Coturnix japonica: one gene and its partner. The protein of the gene in region 1 purifies or fractionates together with the protein of each later gene. This does not show direct contact. Links are inferred from orthologs where the notes say so. Each region holds a gene or a part of one and is shown on either strand. Other genes may lie near its edges.

What was found.
Region 2: the proteins of FBXL4 (region 1) and BNIP3L purify together in Homo sapiens (affinity purification with western blotting; 4 studies listed by BioGRID, with this or other methods). This does not show direct contact. The link is inferred for Coturnix japonica from reciprocal best matches to the Homo sapiens genes FBXL4 and BNIP3L.

Annotation. Positions count from the first base shown.
Region 1 is NC_029518.1:65,225,757-65,236,189, reverse strand, and holds part of FBXL4 (F-box/LRR-repeat protein 4), read right to left. Parts: intron 6,685-10,433; coding exon 6,613-6,684; intron 5,736-6,612; coding exon 5,423-5,735; intron 1,421-5,422; coding exon 1,257-1,420; 3' UTR 1-1,256. UniProt on the Homo sapiens protein: Substrate-recognition component of the mitochondria-localized SCF-FBXL4 ubiquitin E3 ligase complex that plays a role in the restriction of mitophagy by controlling the degradation of BNIP3 and NIX mitophagy receptors.
Region 2 is NC_029537.1:1,741,418-1,752,346, forward strand, and holds the start of BNIP3L (BCL2/adenovirus E1B 19 kDa protein-interacting protein 3-like), read right to left. Parts: upstream 6,919-10,929; 5' UTR 6,913-6,918; coding exon 6,729-6,912; intron 1,366-6,728; coding exon 1,179-1,365; intron 353-1,178; coding exon 280-352; intron 1-279.

The DNA.
Region 1 (10,433 bases):
ACCAACCAAACATAAAAACCCAACAAAACTCAACTTTTGATGTACGCAGTAACGTACTCTAGCAGCGGTATTAAAGAAGAGAAAAGCTTCATCCAAGGAAGTGCAAAAGGAAGAAACCCTTTAAATAGTTCACCGACACAGTTTTCCTTCTTCAACATTTCAACAGTGCTGAAGAGAGCGAGTACAGCAGTACTTAGAGCTCTCACCTCTTAGGAAAGAAGAAAACACACAAAAAAACCCCAAATCCAATACTTTGGATTACTAAGACACCAAAATGTGTCACTCTCCTTCCAAAACCACTATATTTTCATTGCTGTTTTACTGAACAAAGATGGTTGTTGTTACCACTTGATAGATTTTATTCCTGTGCAAGGGACTTTTGCTAGTGCATTAACCTAAGTACTGCTTTTTACATACTCTGTAGGATAATTAGATGCATACAAACCAACCGCCTTGACTGTGTAAAGAAAACTAGACTGGAGTTTTCTACACATCAGTGATGACACCGCATACAGCTCAAACTTTATATCCAACGCCAAGAAGCAGCTGGCAATTCTATCTTTCATTTCTGCTATGAGTTCAGGTGGAAGGTTCTTGAATTTATCTGTTGTGTCACTTAGGCTGGACTGTAAAACATCACAACATCTATTTCAGATGGAGGAAGGGATGAGAATCTTTCAGATGCAGTTCATTGCCACAAAAGGAAAAAAGAAAAAGCAAACCTGTCTTTCTAATCCATTCTTAATGAAGCTTAAACAGCTTTTGAAACAAGTAACTGTAGGCCTGATCATAAGATGTTATGCTGCAGACCAAATTAAAATGCTACTGTATGCATGCATGTATATCTGCATACATTTATATACACATATACACATAAATAAAAAAGGAAGCACCCATATTTTTTCTTACTGGTAAATGCTCAACGTTTTCTTTTATCTAGATATTAACATAGTTTGCTGGGTATAACACCCTATCAAGGGACATGTAAGGTGTTTCTCATTTTCTTGCCATTAAAGCCATACATATGGCTAGCATTTAAAAACATGCAGTGCCACCGATTAACAGAGTAAAACAATTATTAGGTACAATATCAGCTCTAAGAAATGCATAATATATTTAAATTTAAAATGTATTTTACCCATTTGTGCAGATAATTAATACAATCCACTACTTCATAGGAATTCTTCTTAAAAAAATCAGCACAAATTCACAGGAAATAACTGTTTAAGGAATTCCATAGCAGCATATGGAGCGAGTCACTGGGTGAAACTCTTCTTTATGAACACATTAGGAAAGTTGGCATTCAGTTCTAGGACAACTCTGTTATCGATCTGTGAACAGAAGGACACATCGAGTAAAGAGAGATCTTTACAAGACTCCAGCAGTTTTCTTAAAGAAGCTGGGCTTACCATCCTCGTCCCTGTTTGAAAACAAAAAAAAAGAGAAAGAAAAAAAAATGCAAAGTTAAAAAAGAACAGTTGTTTGTTTTAAAGCTGCTAATACTGCACGAAAAGAATGCTAGTAGTACAATGTTTGTTTACATTATTTCAATTAGATTTCAAATGAAGAACTTCTCAGTGGCAGTCTTTGTACAATGTTTGCCTTTAAGAAGCCTGCTGTGTTTTCCTAACTCAGCTATTCAATTAGATTGTTTGCTTCTTAGAAGAAACTTTACAACTTCAAGAGAAATTTCTAGTTACAGAAGCTGACCAAAGTACCCAAGGCTACAAGACCCAGTGACCAGATCCCAGGCTTTGGCCTGAGGAAAATACTGTGCGACACTCATGTTCTTGTGACTTTCCTGCTGGCTGCAATGACTGGCACAACACACGCTATTATAGGCTCTTCCAATCCCAAATACATCAGCAAGGCTTCTAGGACTCTGGAGCGGCTATATGTATTACACCCACATCATGTAGGAACAGATCTCAAAAAGACTACCACTGTTCTCTTACATCTGAAAGTCATTCCTCCTGTTTATTTCCGTAGAAACTACAACAGATACAATAACGTTACTTTTAGAAGAAAAAAAATAATAATCAGCAACAATGCATCCACACATCCACTGTAGCTGACTGAAATCCAGTCAGTGCAGAACATGATTCAGCTGACAAGTCATTGAAGTATGACTCAGTTGCCTGAAGTGAAGTGCCTGGTGCTCCCTTGGGGCCACGCAGACACCCACACAGACCCAGCAGACAGGCCACAGGACTGACAGGAGACCCACGCCTTACTGCAGGTACATCCGACCCAAGGTCTGGCACAGCTCATTTTGCAGCCCACCCCACTGCTGTCACACTATTGTGGTGGTGGCTCTTCCACATCAAGCAACTCAGCCTGGCCCCAGATGCATAACCATTGTTCAGCAACAACCAAACACTGCTGTGTGATTGACACTATCTAGGCTGACCAAGGAAGGGCACAGAGCAACGCTGGCTCAAGTTATAGCAAATAATTTTATGCATTTTGACACATTGGCTATGCACAGTCCTGCGAACAGCAGGAACAGGCAGGAGTGCTTTCTGTATTGATAAAGGAATGTAAGAACAAGTTTCAAGATTGCAAAAAAAAATCATCAAATTTTTGGTATACTTGTGACTCCACCTTCAGTCACCACAGTGACTGTCATCACAGTGGTCAGGTGGTTGATACAGCAGTTCCATTAGCACACACATAAATTTTGTTATATTCTTTATTTACATCCCTTAATCATAATTGCACCACAGTATCACTGTCCCATCAGAAGAAACTGCTCTAACGTTTCAGCTGAAACTCCAAGAAAAAAACTACACTACCTTCCTTCTACCAAGCCTAAAATTGCTACTGCATTAGCATCTTCATTTAAAACTAGTTTTGTTTGACCATCTCAGCTTTTAAAATTAAAAATCCAAATGCTTCTACAAAATGCTATTCAATTACATAGTTGATAGTTAGATAGCCTCGATAGCAGCTACTACTTACAGCAATGCAACTAAGCAGCTGATACAGCATACATTTAAAGCTATTGGCATTGCCAATTTAGGTGGTCTTGACATGAGGTTTCTGTTACAAGTTTTATAACACTGGACAATGTACTGCAACAATATAAAAATGTCAGACAGTCATAGCTGGATCACTCTACATTCCTCAAGTGAACAAAAAGCAGGGGAAATAATACAGTTCACCATGTCTATTGGTCTATCAGGAGAAGATGCAGGCAGAGAAGCAGAAGATACTCGTAAACGGGCAGCTCAGTACGTAATGGGTAAAAGAAATATCAGAACTAGAAAACCCAAGAAACACACTTGAAGTACATCAGGTATGGTGTACTTCCATCATACATCTTCCAAACTGTATGATATATACAGTGGATACGAAACCAAACCATGGCTTTAACAGAGCTTTAAGTAACTTTCTTTAGTATGCTTTACACACAATTCAAACAGAGCTACCCATCAAACAATGCTTCATGTGGGCCAATAATTTTTAATGTAAGTTCCCCTGCTGCATGCACCTCTAACCTAGCAGCAATGCTTGTACACCCTCAATACATGCATGTATAAGCCAGGCATTTCTTTGTTGTTTTCCTACTGCTTCCAAAATAGCTGGGTTGCTCCTTCACACACACTGTATCACCTTGTACTGATTGATTGCTTATAGCTGAGGAACAAAAGGTTGTATTCTGCTAAGCATTCCTCTGAAGGAAGAAAGCAAATTGTAGGAGTAGAGAGATTTTTGGTAACAACTTGTGGATAATTCAACTAGGTATCCTCTAGAGAGCACCCTGCTGAACACAACACGCAGGTTTATCAGGAAAGGCTGACTACAAACCCACTTGACCCAGTCGTGCCAGTAGGCACCTAGGGGATGGAACAGAATTCCTCTCCATGTTCAGATTTTTCTACTAAACACCAACGAGATGTTAAACTGAATTCAAATGTGAATTCAGTTGTTAAAGGAGAAGCGTGGCAATACCCCTTCAGTGCTGGCAGAGAGGCAGCAGAACTAGCAGACTTATCTGCAGGCCTAACACAACTGAGCTATTCATTCCACAGCCTTTGGTACAGTGAAAAGGTCAGACCAATTTGTGGGCAGACACAATTCCATTGTAATAGCATGTATGTGGGTGGTCAGGAGAACATACATGTTTATGAAAGACTGTATTCACTATGCCTTTTGGAAACGTTTCATGTCTGAACAGTGAAATGTATATCCCTGATAGTCTTGCTACAAAACAGATTCCCTTAACCACAGGCAAAAACATACATTACCACCTGAAAACTTATGCATTAATCCAAAATAATATTTACTAAGTGGATGTAAGTTTCCATCTGTTCATTCTCCTTCCATGTTGGAGAGAAGGTGGCTTTCTCAATTATAGACGAGTAAAACTATGTCATGGTAAAAGAGCATTTACTATCTATACTGTAGTGACAACTTGCAGCCATATGGTAAATTTTGTACTGAGAAATACTGGTAAGCCTTAAGTTTGCCTGTAACATTTTGAGTAGAAGGCACTGTTTCTCTGGAGCATCACTTCCAACCCAAATGTACTACTTTCTCAGAAGTTATTTAATACTGAAAATAGGCAATGCAGCTACTTTATCTTTCATAATTTAAATCTTTGTTTTTCAACCAACCCTGTGAAAATAAGTCAAGATGAAGATGGAGAAATTTTCCCTACATCAACGTCAAGGCTACCATCATCGTCACAGACTGTTCCTTTTAAAGATAACCTCACATTCCACTGCAGAAAGAATAAAACTACAACTCCCAAAGAGTCCAATGTATATTTAATTTGGATTTCCCATAATATTTTTAGCTATTGACACCGCAGAGAATTAGAAATCTAAGATTTGATGCATTCTCTGCACCTCATCACTTCTTTCTCACCTCAGCGATAATTCCATTTAAAGTTTTGTTATTAATTACATTTTTTCTCTTGAAAGACAAATTCAATTCCTGTTAAAAGTGAGAAAGATTGTCAATGCTGCTTGGTGTACCTGCACTGTGCAAAAGCAGGAATCTGTTTATTAACTATAAATATACTTAGTCACACTTCATAGAAATAAAACAAAAGCAGGAACAAGAAGAAGAGACTGGATCTTCTGAGAGCAAAATCAAAAGATGTCCATTAAATGTACTAATATAATGAAACTAAAAGTTACTGGAACAAATCCGCGCGATTCTCAGCTTAAGATTGTTTAATACTAAACAATCAAATTACACAGTCAGGAGAATCCAAAGAATTTACATGTCAGAAAACCGTTGCAGTTAATACTTTTCTCCCATTTTCTCATGAGCTAAGCCATACTTTCATACAAATACATAAATATATACAAATACATCTATAAGGCAGAAGGTTGACCACATGGATTTCTTTTATAACTCACAGGCTTCTGAGAACAGTAAAATATATACCAGTATTCCCATATTTTCTTACCCAATATATCTAGCTGTCGTAAATGAGCACAGTTAGCTGCAAGCTCTTCGATGTCTGTGTCACACACAGACCTGTTGGCCGTGAGAAAGAGCTTTTGCAAGTTCGGAAGTTTACGTGCGAGGTTTGTGAAGCAGCCTGTACTGCTCTGTAACGTGGGGCACCAGCCGAGATCAAGTTCTTCCAAAAGCTGGCAGCCTGAAGCCAACTCTGCTATTCCATTTTCAGTTATGTTTTTACATCTCCACAGATCCAGACTGCGGAGCTTTTTGCACTTTGCTCCCATCATGCTTGCTATAAGATCATAGTCTTCAATCTGCAAGGAAAATAAACACTTTGTCATCTATACTGCCCTTCCAGACACACACAGGTGTTTCAAGATTCACTTGTTAACACATCTACAGAAACATTTAAGCATTCATTGCTTCTAAAGAGCTCCAAGAATTACTCTCTGTACATTGAGGTCTACTCCTACATAAAACAAAAATAAAGTTCCTATTTACTCCCAAACATACCTGATTTTATATTCACTTGACACCGAGGATCAGTGAAAATGCAGTTAGAAGTTTATTTTCTTTGAAAACCTTCTCCTTTTCTTCAAGAGATTATTAGAATTGTATTTATGACAACAGGAATGGCAACTCTAAGTGTATGTGCATTAAAGAGGACACTAGTTTCCATTCTAGGCTGACCATCTGCTACACTTCATTATGGAAGCTTTACTATTTACCTCAGACAAGCCAAAGGGGCTCAAAGTACCCCAACTCCACAGGTAGAAGGAATGAAATACACTATCAAAAATCATAGGAAGACTAGAGTTGTTGGAAAAATAATGCGCTGCCTTTCTCCTCTGGCCATGAGTCAAAGTTGGGAAGGCTGAGTCAATTCTGCTTTGTCACTTCTGAAACTGCAGGGAAGTTTACCTGATGAGTTACCAGATGTATTTATCACCAGAGACAGAAAGTTAAGTCCCAGTGCATACAACCCTGACTGACATGCAGATTCAACAAAGTTTAGATGAGCTCTGTGCAGGATTTCCAAGGCCCGTATTTTCTGCCTTTAATTCAGTGTGTGTGTGCCCAGGATGTCTACATGACTCAAAGAGCTTTCGTTGAAAACATTCTTGTGTTTATGACTGTAGTGTCACACACAGGTGTTGGCCTGCTATGAAACACAGCACTCTAGCTACTCACCATGACGCAGCTGCCCAAGCTGAGGTGTTGAAGCTCTGAGCAGAAGTTCAGGATACTGAGCAGGGCTGTTTGCTGCCACCAGAGAACGCATCAGAAGGAAATATGGAACGTGAAACAAAGAGAAGAGGTCAATTAAGCATTAAAGGCTGTCACTGCATTTCCTGAAACACAGCTCAAAACTCTGTTACAGACACCACAAATGCCACTTAATGAGTCCCCAGGTAATCTGCCCATTGATTGGCTTAAAGTAACAGTAATCATTACAAACCTTTACACAAGTCACTTTGGATGTGGTTTTGAATTGCCCTGAAGATACCTATACACTCATGACCTATCAGCTCATTTCCCCCAGGAAAGATACAGAAGAATAAGTGTGGCAAGTTCAAACAGCAGGCGAGGCCAGACCAAAAACACAGAGGGCTGGTGACACACCAGCAGAACAGCAGAGCTCTGACATTCTCCCATCAGCCGTAGCCTGATGGAACTGCCAATAGAGCAGCACAGCATTGGGACCGAGCTGGTGACTTTAATGTCAAAGGAGTCTCCGTGCTGACAGGGATGCTGACAACCATTGAGCACCTGTCACTACCAGCATGCAGGCTGAAACAGATATAATGTGTACTTTACAGTCATGTTTCTGCCATTTATCACAGCCATTCTTTTCAGAAAGTACTGCACATTACTCAGCCTGAAATTATACTGGAACGCAGATGTATCTTACAAAATGTTAAATACGTGGCTATTCTGTTCTATGACAAGAGAAACTTCGTGGTATTTTATTTGTGTTTCTAAGACAGAGAAAAGACTCCTCTGCATTGTCTGTAGCCATATTCTGTTTTGTGGCTTGAAATACACTCAAGAGCAAAGAAGGACACAGCCTGGGATTCAAAACAGAAATATCTGTGCATCATACTTCAAACATCTACCACTTCATTCATTTTCTGTAAGCCTGAAAACTGCAGTAAGTTCCGTAACGTATCAATAACTAAAGTCTGTGGATGTATATAGGATACACAACAGTGTCTCACATACACAAAAAAATAAGCAGTATACAAAGGACAAGATGAATTGCTAATGCTTAGAACTCCTACAGGAATACCAGCAAATAATTCGTAGACATGCAAACTATAAAATCTATCTATCTATATGTGCTAATATAAAGTTGCTTGTTTTCACAGACTTTATGGTAAAATGCTTCACTGAATTTTTTCAGTCATTATATCCCAATGAAATGCAGCAGGAACATTATCTTTTCTTATGGTACTGTGAAGAACTACATGATTCCTTGCACTGAAACACTGCCAGATGCAGAACAGAGACAGTGGGTAGAGTATTCATGGAGACCATTCCAGACATCTAATTTAAGCACCTCAAGGGAGCAATTAGAAACACCCAACACTTAACACGGATGGAACTTCAGCTGCCAGCCTGGCCTTCCGAGATTTGATTTCCCAAAAGGAGCCTGAAGGTTGAGGGTACAAACAAGCCTTCCCCACAGATATCTTTGCGGAGGTCTTACAAAGCAACTGTCTGCTTGCACAATTGACTTTCATTTACGTTTTTAAAGAGAAGGGTAGACTAGGGAATTAAACATAAAAGCATTAAGAAGTCATTATAAAAGAGGTAACACTTAGGAGCGCTTTAAAGCTAGTTAATGTGTATATATCCAATATGTTTTAACTAAAGTACGTATTAAGTAAGCACTTTATTTGGAGCATTAAAACTGAATAAACGAGCAACTCCAATGGAGTGAGACATCCTTTATTCTTTACTTCCCTGAAAGCTATGAGCTTTAGAACCCATTCAGACTTCCAAATTAAATAAATCCTCACATCTCTCTATAAATCTTAAGTATCAGAGCTAAATACACCAGTCTCTTAACATCCAATGCTAAGCAGGTTTTCTGACTTTACAATAAAACTGAATAACTCAATGTATTTGACCACGGTTGGTTTTTTTTTCCTGCAATAGTTTCTACAATGGAATTTAAACAATGGCCTGAAAGGTCAGAAAGCAGCAATACTTTTCCTTAATTGACGTAATTCAGAAGCATACAGATACTCTGAGCAGACTGTAGAATGCAAGATCTATTCCATAATGACACTCCTTCAGGGAAGAGTGAAATAGGTAAGGAGATCAATATTCATAGTGGGCTTGATCACAAAAGTAACCTGATGTGTTAACTTGAACGGGAATTTGGTGACTCTCTCAGAATACTTTAGTCCAGCGGAGTCCTTCCTTTATTATATGCACTGAGTCCACATTTTAGAGGTCTCTTCACAATTTGTATTAGCTAAAGTATTACCTTAAACAAAACAAAACAGCGAAAGAACAACAGGAAGAAGATAAGCAGTAGAAATGTGAGTAATAAAAAAGCATTGTGGTAGAACACCACAGCATACCATAGCACAGCCTGCCAAATCTAGCCCAAGAGTAAACAGTAAGTTACTCGACAGTAGCTATACTCATTGCAGGTTAATTCCCCTTCTGGAGTGCATGCATGCCTCCACACAAGAAAACAGACTTTCTTCAGAAGCTGTGTCTGTTCTTCAGTAACTGGAGGCAGTTTCTGCGTATGTCAAAAGAAAAAAAGAAAAAGAAAAAAAAATAAAAAATATATATATATATATCAACCACCTTTCTTTGAATATGCTTAGTTGAGCCCCAGTCAGTTGTGAATACAGGTGGTAAAGGACATCAAAATAGCAGGTAAGAATGGCAGCTCACAGAATCCATACGCACTGCATATAAAGAACTACCATTGTAATAACATGACCGTTTCAAGCCATCTGTCTGTACAGTTCATCTCTCTGACTTGTCTTGAACACAAGATGAGTGATTACACTCCTATGTAAGCAGAGAAGAGTGAGGCAATCACCTGACCTTGAAGCTGTAAGACAGGCCAAACCTCAGATGTCAGAGCTCATTATAAGAGGAGCAGAGGTCACCTAAATTCTGGACCAGCGAGCTTCAACTAGAGAGAATCCAATTTCACTTTCTCAGCCAAGCAGAGGCTGTCAAATCAAAGACTCCCCACATAACACTTCATTTGTGAGCTTAGTAGCCAAGATATGTATAGTTTGAAGACTTTCTAAGGATTCCCTGCAGCAAAGGTAAGAGCTGGCTTTGTACCTGCTCTCCCTCATGCATGCTGAAACTGCAGAAGGAAAACAGTAGATGCCTCAGTAGTCCAAATTTCTTCTGCCATCCAATCAAAGCAATAACTGGTGAACAGTCAATTTTCATAAGATGGCACAAACAGCAGGAAGAGCAGTTCTAAGCAGCCAAATAGAATCCTATTATCCATTTCCAGGAATGGTTTTCAGATGATGAAACTGCATGCAGGTGAAGCCATGCACAAATTGCTTGAAGAGAGAAGACTGGCATCGAGCTGCACAGAAGGCTGACATGATACTGCTGTTAAACACAGCCTTGTAGAACAAATTACAGAAATATTTTAGGGCACAACAGTTAGTCCTAAGCCTCAGAAACTGGAAGGAGACACCCTGAAGAGTCTCTGAAGTCTTTAAGAACAGGCTAGACGAGCATGTCAGAAATGACATCAACAGAGATGATCCTGCTTTGGACAAGAAGAGAGAGATTACCTTTTGAAATCCTAACTCATTCCACACGAGACAGGAGAGTTCTGTCCAAACATGAATAAGTCTTTCATTCGGTAACACAGCTGGCCTGGAACACATTTCTGTGCTGTGTATACAGCAATTAAATAGCTGATACTGGACTAATTTCCATCCTACCTGCCTTTGTGAAGACCTTAAACATCACACGTACATTCTGACTTGCAAGTTGCCAGAGTGCAG
Region 2 (10,929 bases), on another chromosome or scaffold:
TTTCGGTTTGTATTGTGAAGACTGCTCACTATCATGCGAGCTGATTGATTCATAAAGCAATTCATTGAGGTCTCAGAATGAAAAAACCTGCTAGAGAGCAGTAGTTCAATGGATGTCTTTTGACAGGTAAAATATATAATATTAAAGACCTTCTGAGGTGACAGAGAACTTGCTCTGCACTTCAAGTACTCCCAGTATCGACCTATGTATGATTTATATGTACAATACCTACAACTTTAACATATTTTTCAAAGTTAATTATTTTAAAAGGTTAAATACCTGAGAACTACTGTCTTTACTTGTGTGCATTTCCACATCAAATGTTATCTGTCCATCTTCTTGAGGTGAAGGGCTAAAGAAAAATGGATTTCATTATGTCACTTTTGTCACACTATACTGTCAGCTACAGAATAATTAGCATTAATGGCATCTCAGCTGAATCACTTCCACATGCACTTCTGCACACTATTCAAATGAGTAACAGACTACAGTCACAATCACTGGAACAAGAATGTCTTCAAGAAACCTTTGCTTTGCTCTTTTATATTTTAAACAATCCCACCTCTTTCAACAGGACTGACTGCCACTGCACAGGATCTGGACTGGAAATACTGAACATAGAGGTAAGAAGATGCCTATTTTCTATTAAAGCAAGAGTTCTGTTTTAAATATTGTATGAAGTGCCTTCAAAGATCGCCTACTATAGCCTGTAATTAAATCAGGCCTAACTAATTTTAAGTATATTTTATTACTGATCAGCTACTTAATGTGTACAGTAGGCAAGACAGTTCAACAAACAACCATCATTCAGAAAATCCAAAGGAGACATAAGCAGATGGATATGTAAAATTATCTATAGAAACCAGTCACAGACCTACAAATCTGGCCTAAAGCCTTCAATGGAAAGGCACAGTGAAGAACTAAGAATACCATACTGCTCACATGTGCCTCGAGGGATTATATTGCCAGGCAAAGATATTCTGCCTTCATAGGAAAAACAGCAGAATATTGAAAGCAGGAAGTACAAATTCCAAGTGTCCTTTTTTCTGCCAAGTCCAGTGATGCGTTTTATTATGTTTGACTGAAAACAAGGATATATATATATATCACATTATTACTAATGAACCAGTAAAGCTAATATTTCATACCCTAAATGGCTTATGACAATGTTCACTTACCTGTCACAGTGGGAACTACCTCTTGAACTGCTCTGTCCTGATTCATGCTGGGCATCCAGAAGGATTTTCTCCATGTCTCCATTATGGATGGAGGATGATGATGGGACATGCTCCAGCCCTCCGTTTTTCCCATTGCCATTATCATTGCTATTGCCATTGCCATTCATCTGCAACTCCACCCAGGAACCTGTAGGGCAAGACAGACATCATTTCATTAAAAGCAGCGAAACTAAAACCAAGTAAAGTTTATCAACTACACACAGCAAAAGAGCCCTGAACATGGTGAATTCAGATAACACCGCTGCTGGATAAAGCTCAAAAACACGTACTGAAGACAAGGCTGATGTGTTTCTTCCTGTTGCACAAAAACCACCCCATAATGTTATGTTGCTTCCTACCTCTGGAGCTAGGCACACTAACTGCCCCCCATCTTCCCAGGTGTTAATACTTTAACAGACCCCATTTCTCTCTATAGTCTGAAGTTTCCATTATCTATGTGGCACTCAATTATACTAATCACTCCCCTTCCCTGTTCTGCTCCTAATATCCTCTTTCAAAGGTTATTCTATTCTCCTAGCCCTGCTTCCATAGAACTCCCCAACCTACAAATTTATACCATCCTTCTTCCTTCCACTTCCAAAGGCCTTCATCTCCAAACCAGCCTCTGCCTTCACATTTACTTATGTTGAAGTCATACAAGAAAAAAGATCCCAAACATGAATGTATCCCCAGAACCACAACGCAGCTGAGGGTTGATGCACCTCTGGGCCCATCAAGTCTGGCCCAGCAGGGCCACCCAGAGCTGCTGAATATCTATATAAGATCTCACACCTCTCTGGGCAACCCATGCTCTCAATAAGGAAATGCTTCCTGAGATTGAGATAGAACTTCTTGTGTTCCTGTTGCACTTTAATGTGCAGGTTAAATAAACAAAAAACCAGCGTTTACCACCATGTTCCCAAGAGCCGTGTTTCAATTTGTACCCTACCACTCAATGTCCTGAGGGGTAGAACAGATCTCCACCCTTCATTCTGTTCCAAATATTTAAATACATTCCCTATCCAACTGCAACTCCAACCATCTCATTAAGATATAAACCAAGAATCAGATGACTGCACAGCCCACAGAAGACCAACTGGCCTGACAGAGCTGACTACTGATAGATTTCCTTTTGCAGTTATCACCTCAATCACTAAATTCCACACTGCATTTATCTATGCTGTAGAATCCTGTCATTTACCTTCATTCTAAGGGTCTGTGTAAGAAAATATCTGCACTTAGGACCTTCTGATGTTTCATTCTGTCAATAAAGCTGTAAGGTCTATAGGCCTTTCTGTTAAACCCTTTTCAATCACGTTCATAACCCTATAAGTGATTTTGCATTTGATGGAGCCACCATTTCAAAGACTTGATTAAAAACTGAGCTGCGAACACAATGAACTACTTGAAACATCATCAGAACATAAAGGACACATCATTCATTCTATCGTCTATAAAGTTCCTATGTCCACCCAAAGAGATCACAGCAGTTTCCTGAACATAAATGCTGTTTCTATTTAATGCTGTACATAAATAATGTGAGAAGATCCTGATTAGGGAGAGCAAAGATCTCTGATTTCTCACAAGTATAACATCTTCAGTGCAACATTATTTCCCATCATCAGAGAGATAAGGATTTCACACATATAACACCAGGCTTCCATGAAATGTAATTGACTCTATCTGAAGGTAAGTGGAAAATAAGGCCTAAAAATACCAACAAAATAGCTGAAATGACTCCTTAAAATTACCTGAGATGGTTTGAAACTTCAATAGTGATTTCTTGTCTTATGAAATGCATCTTTAATGGCTTCATTTGTTTTTACAGCCTAAGCTTTGGCTCTGTTAGTGACACAGGAAGCGTATGACCAAGTGAGTTCACAGATTATCAACCTGTTTTTGTGAACCTGGAATAGTTTATCCATGCTATCAGCTCCTAACACTGGATATTATGCTCTGCTGAGTCCCGGTGGTTTACAGCCTGTTCTCCCCCATCTGTATTCACAAGCAAGGAATCTGGGTGTGCTCAGAGCTTACACACAACCACACAGCGTACACCAACCCTAGGAGATATCGGGCTGCTTCAACCAGCCCTCCAAAGCAATGGGTTTAATGAGGGTTTTATTGGTGAGTGGTGTTCAACCCGGACTGACAAAACTCCTTGTTTATCTAAAATATGTTGCAGCCACACCAGGAAGAGCAGCCCAATTAACTGTGAGTAAAGAGTCCCAACACGCTGAGCGGTGGTTTACATGACCAGCAGCACGTTCCCTGTCTGACCTCACTTTTAATGAATCAAAATACACTCACAGAAGCCTAATCTGACATCAAGCTACAACACGTTACATCCTCCCACTGGGATCTACAGCAGGTTTATGAGCAGCCAGCAAACTTTGTAGAGCTAAACAGAGGGATGGCAGCCTCTGCTTGGGGGCAGCAGCACAAGGAAATACTGCAGAGCAACCAGCCGTGATGTTAATCACCCACATCAGAGTGTTTAATTTACTGTATATCCCATCTGACTGTTAAGCTGGAGATATGGCAGAACTCAGCATTCTCACCTGAGCCTTCAATGTAACCTCCTGAGTTTATTTCCCTTCTGAAATCATGGGATTTCTCCCAAATTATGTGAATTCTGGCTATGTTCTATTGCAAATGAAGAGAGAAACCAACAGCAGTAACTCTGAGAGCCATTTTATACCAGGTCTCTGCTTAATGTGAATTGCACTACCAACCTATTGCACTTCATAAGCAGTTACATCTGCTGACTTCTTTAAGAGTTAAGCTGACATATTTTCTTGCCCAGGCAGAAATAATGAAATTAATTAAACTGTAGGATATTCGCTCCCTATTTCTATTACACTGCAGCCAATTCAGCAGGACCCCAATGCAATCAGTGGGAAGCCACAGCGTGCTGACCAGTCCAGGATCAGCATTTAACAAGGGCTTAAGCAGAAGCATTAAGTCGGTTCATAGGCAAACCCTCCTAAATCCTGTTGCAAAACTGAAGCACCAACAGGCTGGCACCTGGCGTGCAGCCACTATGCACACATAGGCTTCTATTAAATAGAGAAATCCAGAGTGTTTTCAGGTATATGCATGTGCAGAATTAAAAGCAGTGAACAGCTCATTAGTCTGAGCTATGATCAATCTGAATCAACTAAGAAGTCCAACATTAACAAGAGGGGAATAAAGCAAGCTGGTCATGCTCCCATAGGGGAAATTATTAAGCAAGTTTTCCATGACAGAGCTAGATGGGTTCCTACCTGAGGTGGGACTGATTGCTTGTCAATATGTAACAGAGCTCTATAATAATTAAAATGGAGGAAGCATCCCAAAGCATATAAGCTTTTTTTGTTTTCTTTTTGAACCCAACAAAGCAAAGCTTCAGTTATCAGTTTTATTCCCAGGTCTTCAATTCAAAGTGCTTGGAGATCTCTGAATGAAAGGCCTTAAACACGCACAAATGACACACAGAGCAAAATGAATAAGTGTCTAAACTCATTAGCCTGAAAAGGGTCACTGAAAAGCTTATATAATGGCAGCAAATGCACCTATAACACCAAAGCATTGTGGAATGGCTTGAACATCTGAAAGCGGGACTAAATCCATGTGCAGCTGATTGGTTGCACTTGTTTTGTTCACCCAGCACAGATTACCGAGCATTTCCTCTCATACCTTGTGCTCACCACCTCCAGTAATCACATTGATTTTGTTAAGCCTTTATGCACTGACCCAGCAGCAAGATCTACGTGGGCAGATCCAGCCTGGGCTTACAGCATTCATCCCTTGTGGTTCCCATCTTACAGCTTTGCAGAGTAACTTAATGTACCAGCAGAAAACAGCGTGAAAATACTTAAGTACAGAAGTGAAGATGGGAATTTATAAATGAAGCAATGAGTTTGAATCACAGAATCATAGAATGGCCTGGGTTGAAAAGGATGACAGTGATCAGCTGCTTCCAACCCACTGTTATATGCAGGGTCACCAACCAGCAGCCCAGGCTGCCCAGAGCCACATCCAGCCTGGCCTTGAATGCCTGCAGGGATGGGGCATCCACAGCCTCCTTATCACAAGGTGTAACATTACTGTGATGGGCCAGCCGCCGTTTATTCCTTAATGCAATTCACAGCGAGTTACAAGAACTCAACCATCCCTCGCGTTTCACTGTCAGTTTAACTTCATCATAAACCCCAAAGGGATGGTTAATCATTGACATCATTTATTCACCTCTTCACCTGGGGTATCCTTAACAATTACAACCAGACACACATCGAAGCAGCTGTTTCAAACATGGGATAAGTGTCTGTCAGGTGAGCACCGGAGCCCCCATGGATGCTCCTTGTGAGCGTTATTCAGGGAACAAAAGGATGCAGGGAGCAGCTGACACAGATGCCGGATATAGAGGAAAATAGCTCACGTCAGCGGTATCGACTCAGCCACTGAATAAACTCATTCCCACACTCACGCTCCTCCCCCTTATCGTGCTGCATCCCCATCTTAGCTGGTAACACCAACCGTTGAATAAACTCAGCTCTAAACCACAACATAAACCCCCTCAACCCCAGTTTCACCCCATACACCTCAGCCCTTCCATATCAGCCCAGGCCTTGAGTCCCACAGCTCATGGGGGCACCCAATCTCTCCTTCCCCACTTCTAAAGCTCAGCTCCCCCAGCCCAACCCCACTCCCCCTCATTACAGAATGACCCGGGTTGGAAGGGACCTCAAGGATCATGTAGTTCCAACCCCCCTGCCTAGCAGGGCCACCAAACATACACATTTACTAGATCAGGTTGCCCAGGAGACCGCATAGATCCCCATAGAGACCCCATAGACCGCACAGATCCCCATAGAGACCCCATAGACACCTCATAGATCCCCATAGATCCTCATAGAGACCTCATAGATCCCCATAGAGACCCCACAGATCCCCACAGAGACCCCATAGACAGCACAATCCCCATAGAGACCCCATAGACCGCACAGATCCCCATAGAGACCCCATAGACACCTCATAGATCCCCACAGATCCCCATAGAGACCCCATAGATCCCCATAGAGACCCCATAGACCCCCATAGAGACCCCATAGACCCCCATAGAGACCCCTTAGAGACCCCATAGATCCCCAAGATAGACCCCACAGATCAGATTGCCCAGGGCCCTGTCCAACCTGGCCCTGAACACCTCCATGGACGGGGCATCCACAACCTCCCTGGGCAGCCTGTTCCAGGGCCTAACCACTCTCCTAGTGAAGAACTTCCCCCTAACATCCAACCTAAATCTTCCCTCTTTTAACTTAAAACCATTTCCCCGTGTCCTGCTATTGTCAGCCCTTTCCAAGAGTTTAAGGGAAGAGTAAGTTCCCTTCAGGTATTGAAAGGCTGCAATGAGGTCACCCCACAACCTTCTCTTCTCCAGGCTGAACAAACCCAACTCCCTCAGCCTGTCCTCATAGGGGAGGTGCTCTCCCCCTCACGCATCCCCCCCCCCCGGCCCAACCCACTCACTATTGAGGCCCGGTTCGGTTTGCGTCCCTTCAGCCGGTGGGTTGTTGTTATTGTTGTGTTGCGGCGGCTCCTGAGGGCTGGACATGGCGGCTGAGGAGACGGAGGAGCCGCTGGGGTTGGGACAACAACAACAAACCTGGACTCCGCTCCGGGCCCAGCCGCCCCGCCTCCTCGCAATGCGCATGCGCGAGATGCGCTGTTTCCACCCTTCCACCGCCGCGCATGCGCAGACAGCCCCGGGGCGCGTGCAGCGCAGCATGGCGCCCGCCGCCCCCGCGCATGCGCAGTCGGAGCGCCGCCGTGGGGTGGGCGGGAAGAGCGTTCTGTGAGGGGGAAGCCGCGCTGTGTGAGGGGTGCGGGCCTCAGGCATAGAGTGAATGGAAAACAGCGCTGTCACACCTCTAACCCCTCACTGATCGTTTAAAAGAGATAAGTGATTGCATTCCCCGCTATTCCAAGCCTTTTTGGATCGTGTTCTACCATTCAACGCTATCAGCTTACAGTACTTCAGCCACACAGGGCCTAGCTGTGCTTCCTATCCCCATGAAGGTCTGAGGTATTTCCTCATCTCTGAGCACAGTTACTGTGAGGTAAGGAGCCAAACCTATAAAGCCAAACCTGTACAGCCAAACCTATACAGCCAAAGTGTGATTCTCCAACCCCCCCCACACACACTCAGCCATCTTGATTTTGCCTCAAATAATTCCAATAGTAGTTCCACGAAACATAATGAGGTCTCCCGGAATGAATTAACTGAGTTTTTAAAGCTAAAAGGAATGTGTCTGAAATAGCAGTGCTGAACAGCCATGTAAAGCTCACCTCTAAGGCCTAGCCTAAGTCAGCAACGTGCAGCTCGGTTCACTTTAATGGTGGCAGAGTTAAGAGAGAACAGGGCACCTATATAACAAAACTGGACTTGTTCTTACCTATACAAAGTGAAATTGCACCCATTTCCTCTCAATATGAAAATGAGAGACAACCTCAGGCTATTTATGCACCTACTGTTGTGCTGTGAACAAGAATAACACTGAGTTTCCAGGGAAAATAGACCTGAAGATGCAATGAAATACTTAAAATGCAGTGAAATACAGGTGCTGACATGTACCTTACCTTGCTGAGGTTAATTCAGTTACAAGAGTAACTTCTGCATCAATTATGTATTCTAAGCAGTTAACATGAAACAACCATATATAGAACAGACGGTTCTTCCAAATCACTTGACTTTTAAGATAACAGTCAATATCATCTTGAATATTGAGCATATAAATGCCTGAAGGCAGACCCAGTTCCCATAGATACTTTGTATTGCAGATAGAAGAAATTTACTAGGCTTATTCTCCTTCTAATCTCCTTTCTCATCAGGACTCTCTTGGAGAATGATCCAGCAAGACTGACTTCACCGCAGATGATTTAACTCGCCTTCATTTCTCAATACATCGGTTTTACGACCTTCATTCCATGTGACATCACCTCAACTCCAAGGTCAGTTCTGAGGCCTAAAGTATCTCACATGGAACACTGTAACCAATCCCATCCCACACAAATATACACAGCGTTTTACTTCCCAACAGCACTAATGGGCCCTTCACATAAAACCATTCCCATCAGCAGCCTTGAGAATATAATTAGGGGCAGGGGATCATTGTTTTGTGTGATGGTATCGCTGCTGCTATCAGAGACTGAAACAAATTCAAACAGACCCATTTACATTAATGTTTTCCCTATCTCCTCATTACTCAGCAAAGATGTTTTATCAGGGCTTTATCAGGACTAGGGTGTGTACAACTCTCATAGTTATCCCAGTTTGGATTATTAGCAAATATTTTTCTTCATTTTCTCATCTATGCTACGTTGAATAGCATCCAAATACTGATGTGTGGACATTATAAAGCTGCCTTACACGATGCTGCTCTTTCCTACCAAACGGACTGTATATATGCTTACGTATCCATACTAAATCTTGTAAAAGACCTGGAAAAGGTGGCAGCAATTTAGGCATTCTAATAAAACATCCCTCCACAGGTAGGAAGGCTATGGATGTGTCCTAGATTAGAGCCAGAAAAATAAGCTACTTGTGATGCTGAACAGAGCCCCATCCCACTTCGCAATCCTAACAATCCCAGGTTAACATCAAGCATCATTTGTCATCCCCATCATTCAGGAAGCGTTTGCCATAATGCTCGTGGCATGAATATTTATCAGCAAAGTGGGACTATTAACATTTCTGAGTCAGACAAATTAATCGAGATTACAGAGTGAGTCAATGCAGAGCCAGAAATAGCATTCAGAAGTCCTGACTTTCAGACCTGTTCTCTAACCACTACACGGGTTCCTTCAGGCTGTTGAATGACGTAATTCATGCTTATAAACTAATTGAATCCTCAGATGGAAAATGCTATGACAGTAGTTAAGGTGGAGGGACAAAAAGCCACGTGATCATAGAAGAGGAACAGCGGCTGTAAACATCTGGGAAAGGTCTTTTGTGCAAGAAAAAGGGTTTTTTTTACAGAAAGCCTATCAGTCAATTCAAGTCAAACACATCAAGCTACCTGATTGTCTCCTAAGAGCTGCCAAACTAAGTGCAGTTTTATGCTCCCAGCTCCAAGGTGTTTTTTGTCCACCCACCTCTTTGGTAACATTTTGCCTCCTAGTGGAGGATACAAATATAGAAACACCTGCTTTTTTCTCAAATACAGATGTATTGTTTGCAAAAGGCAGAGATTGTTAGAATTCAAAGGTAGACCGTACAGAAAATCCATGCTGCTTCTTGGTTCTGAGCTGTATCGCACTAGAAAGAAGCACCTGCTGTTTCTATTCCAGCCACTACTGTGACTTCTACCGTTAAGTCCTTTCTCTGCAAACCCAAACCTTCTATACCAAGTTAAATAAGGCATTTGCTGTGAGCGAACAATAGAAACTATTCAAGACACCGGTAGTCATTACACAGCAACCTCAGTCCCAGCACACCTCTCCCCACCTCAATTCTCTACATCAATAGTCCAGCTTGCAACTGCTAATTATGTGGGAAAGGGCAAAAGGAAACACCTCAGTCTAAGTCAGAAGTTATGGCGGGAATGCCAGAGATGAAGACACAAAATCCAGTGCACAGGAAACTACTGCTTCTAGCTATGTCACCCCTCTGACTGCCTAATTCCAGAGCAGGGAACAATAAATCAGCCTTCCAACAGGCAGCAGCCACTCTCCAGGAGGACAAAGGTACCAATATCTGCTCATCAACTCCAGCATTTCCAAGGTAGGCTGAGAAAAAAAGGAGAAATATATTTAAATTTAGGACAACTGAGTGGAATCGACAGCCCTGCCCCAACAGAACATTGAGAAAGAAGTAGGATGTTGCCACATTCAGCACATCTGATGGCGTTAGCTACTCCTCACCAAAAAAGCAGCAAAGGGACCTCAGCCACAGAGCTTGTCTGCACCTCAGCCCTGTACCAGTCAGATAATAACAGGCTGCAAATGAATTTGCTGGCAGTATCACTGGTCTGAAGTAAGGTTGCCGCTCTGCAAATATTAACTACCAAAGTGGCAGCTGTGAGTTATGTGGTAGTATCAAAGTCTTCAAGATGGACAGTAGGGAAGGGATCAGAACTTCCGTGTTCAGTTCAGTATTTAAGGGTTGAGAACTGAACAGCTGCACTGGTTGCACTGGGAACGGAGAGAAAGCACTAGAACAGAGCAGCTGCTTTCATCTAACTGTACATGATGGAGGAGGGCAGGATTGCCTTAACACCCACCCACCCTGTCTGGCAAGCTCTCCAGGCTAAGACCCAGAAATAACAACACAGAACCTAGCAAGAAGGTGTACTACTCAACATGCAGTAAGAAGGATGAGTAATTTCAAAAACGCCTGTAAGTAGAGAAAAGGGATGGGAAGAAAGATAAAAAGCAACCTGACAAGATGTATTCTATGCATACTTTTATTAATAAAATATAAGATTTACAGCATATGTCAATGGACAGTGTGTTTCGAGAAGTATCTAGTTGGATAGCATGACACCAAAGTCAGTAGCTGGTTTTGTTGAGGATAGGTTAAACCTCAAGCGACATCATGCCAGAGATCACCGCTACTGCTTGAAAACAAAAGTATTTCCCAAGACTAGCTTTAAAAGTCCTGAAACCCAACAAGCACAGCTGAGGTCCAAGAGGCAGTTCTGCTTGAGTTAGTATTGCTAGAAGGCTGCAC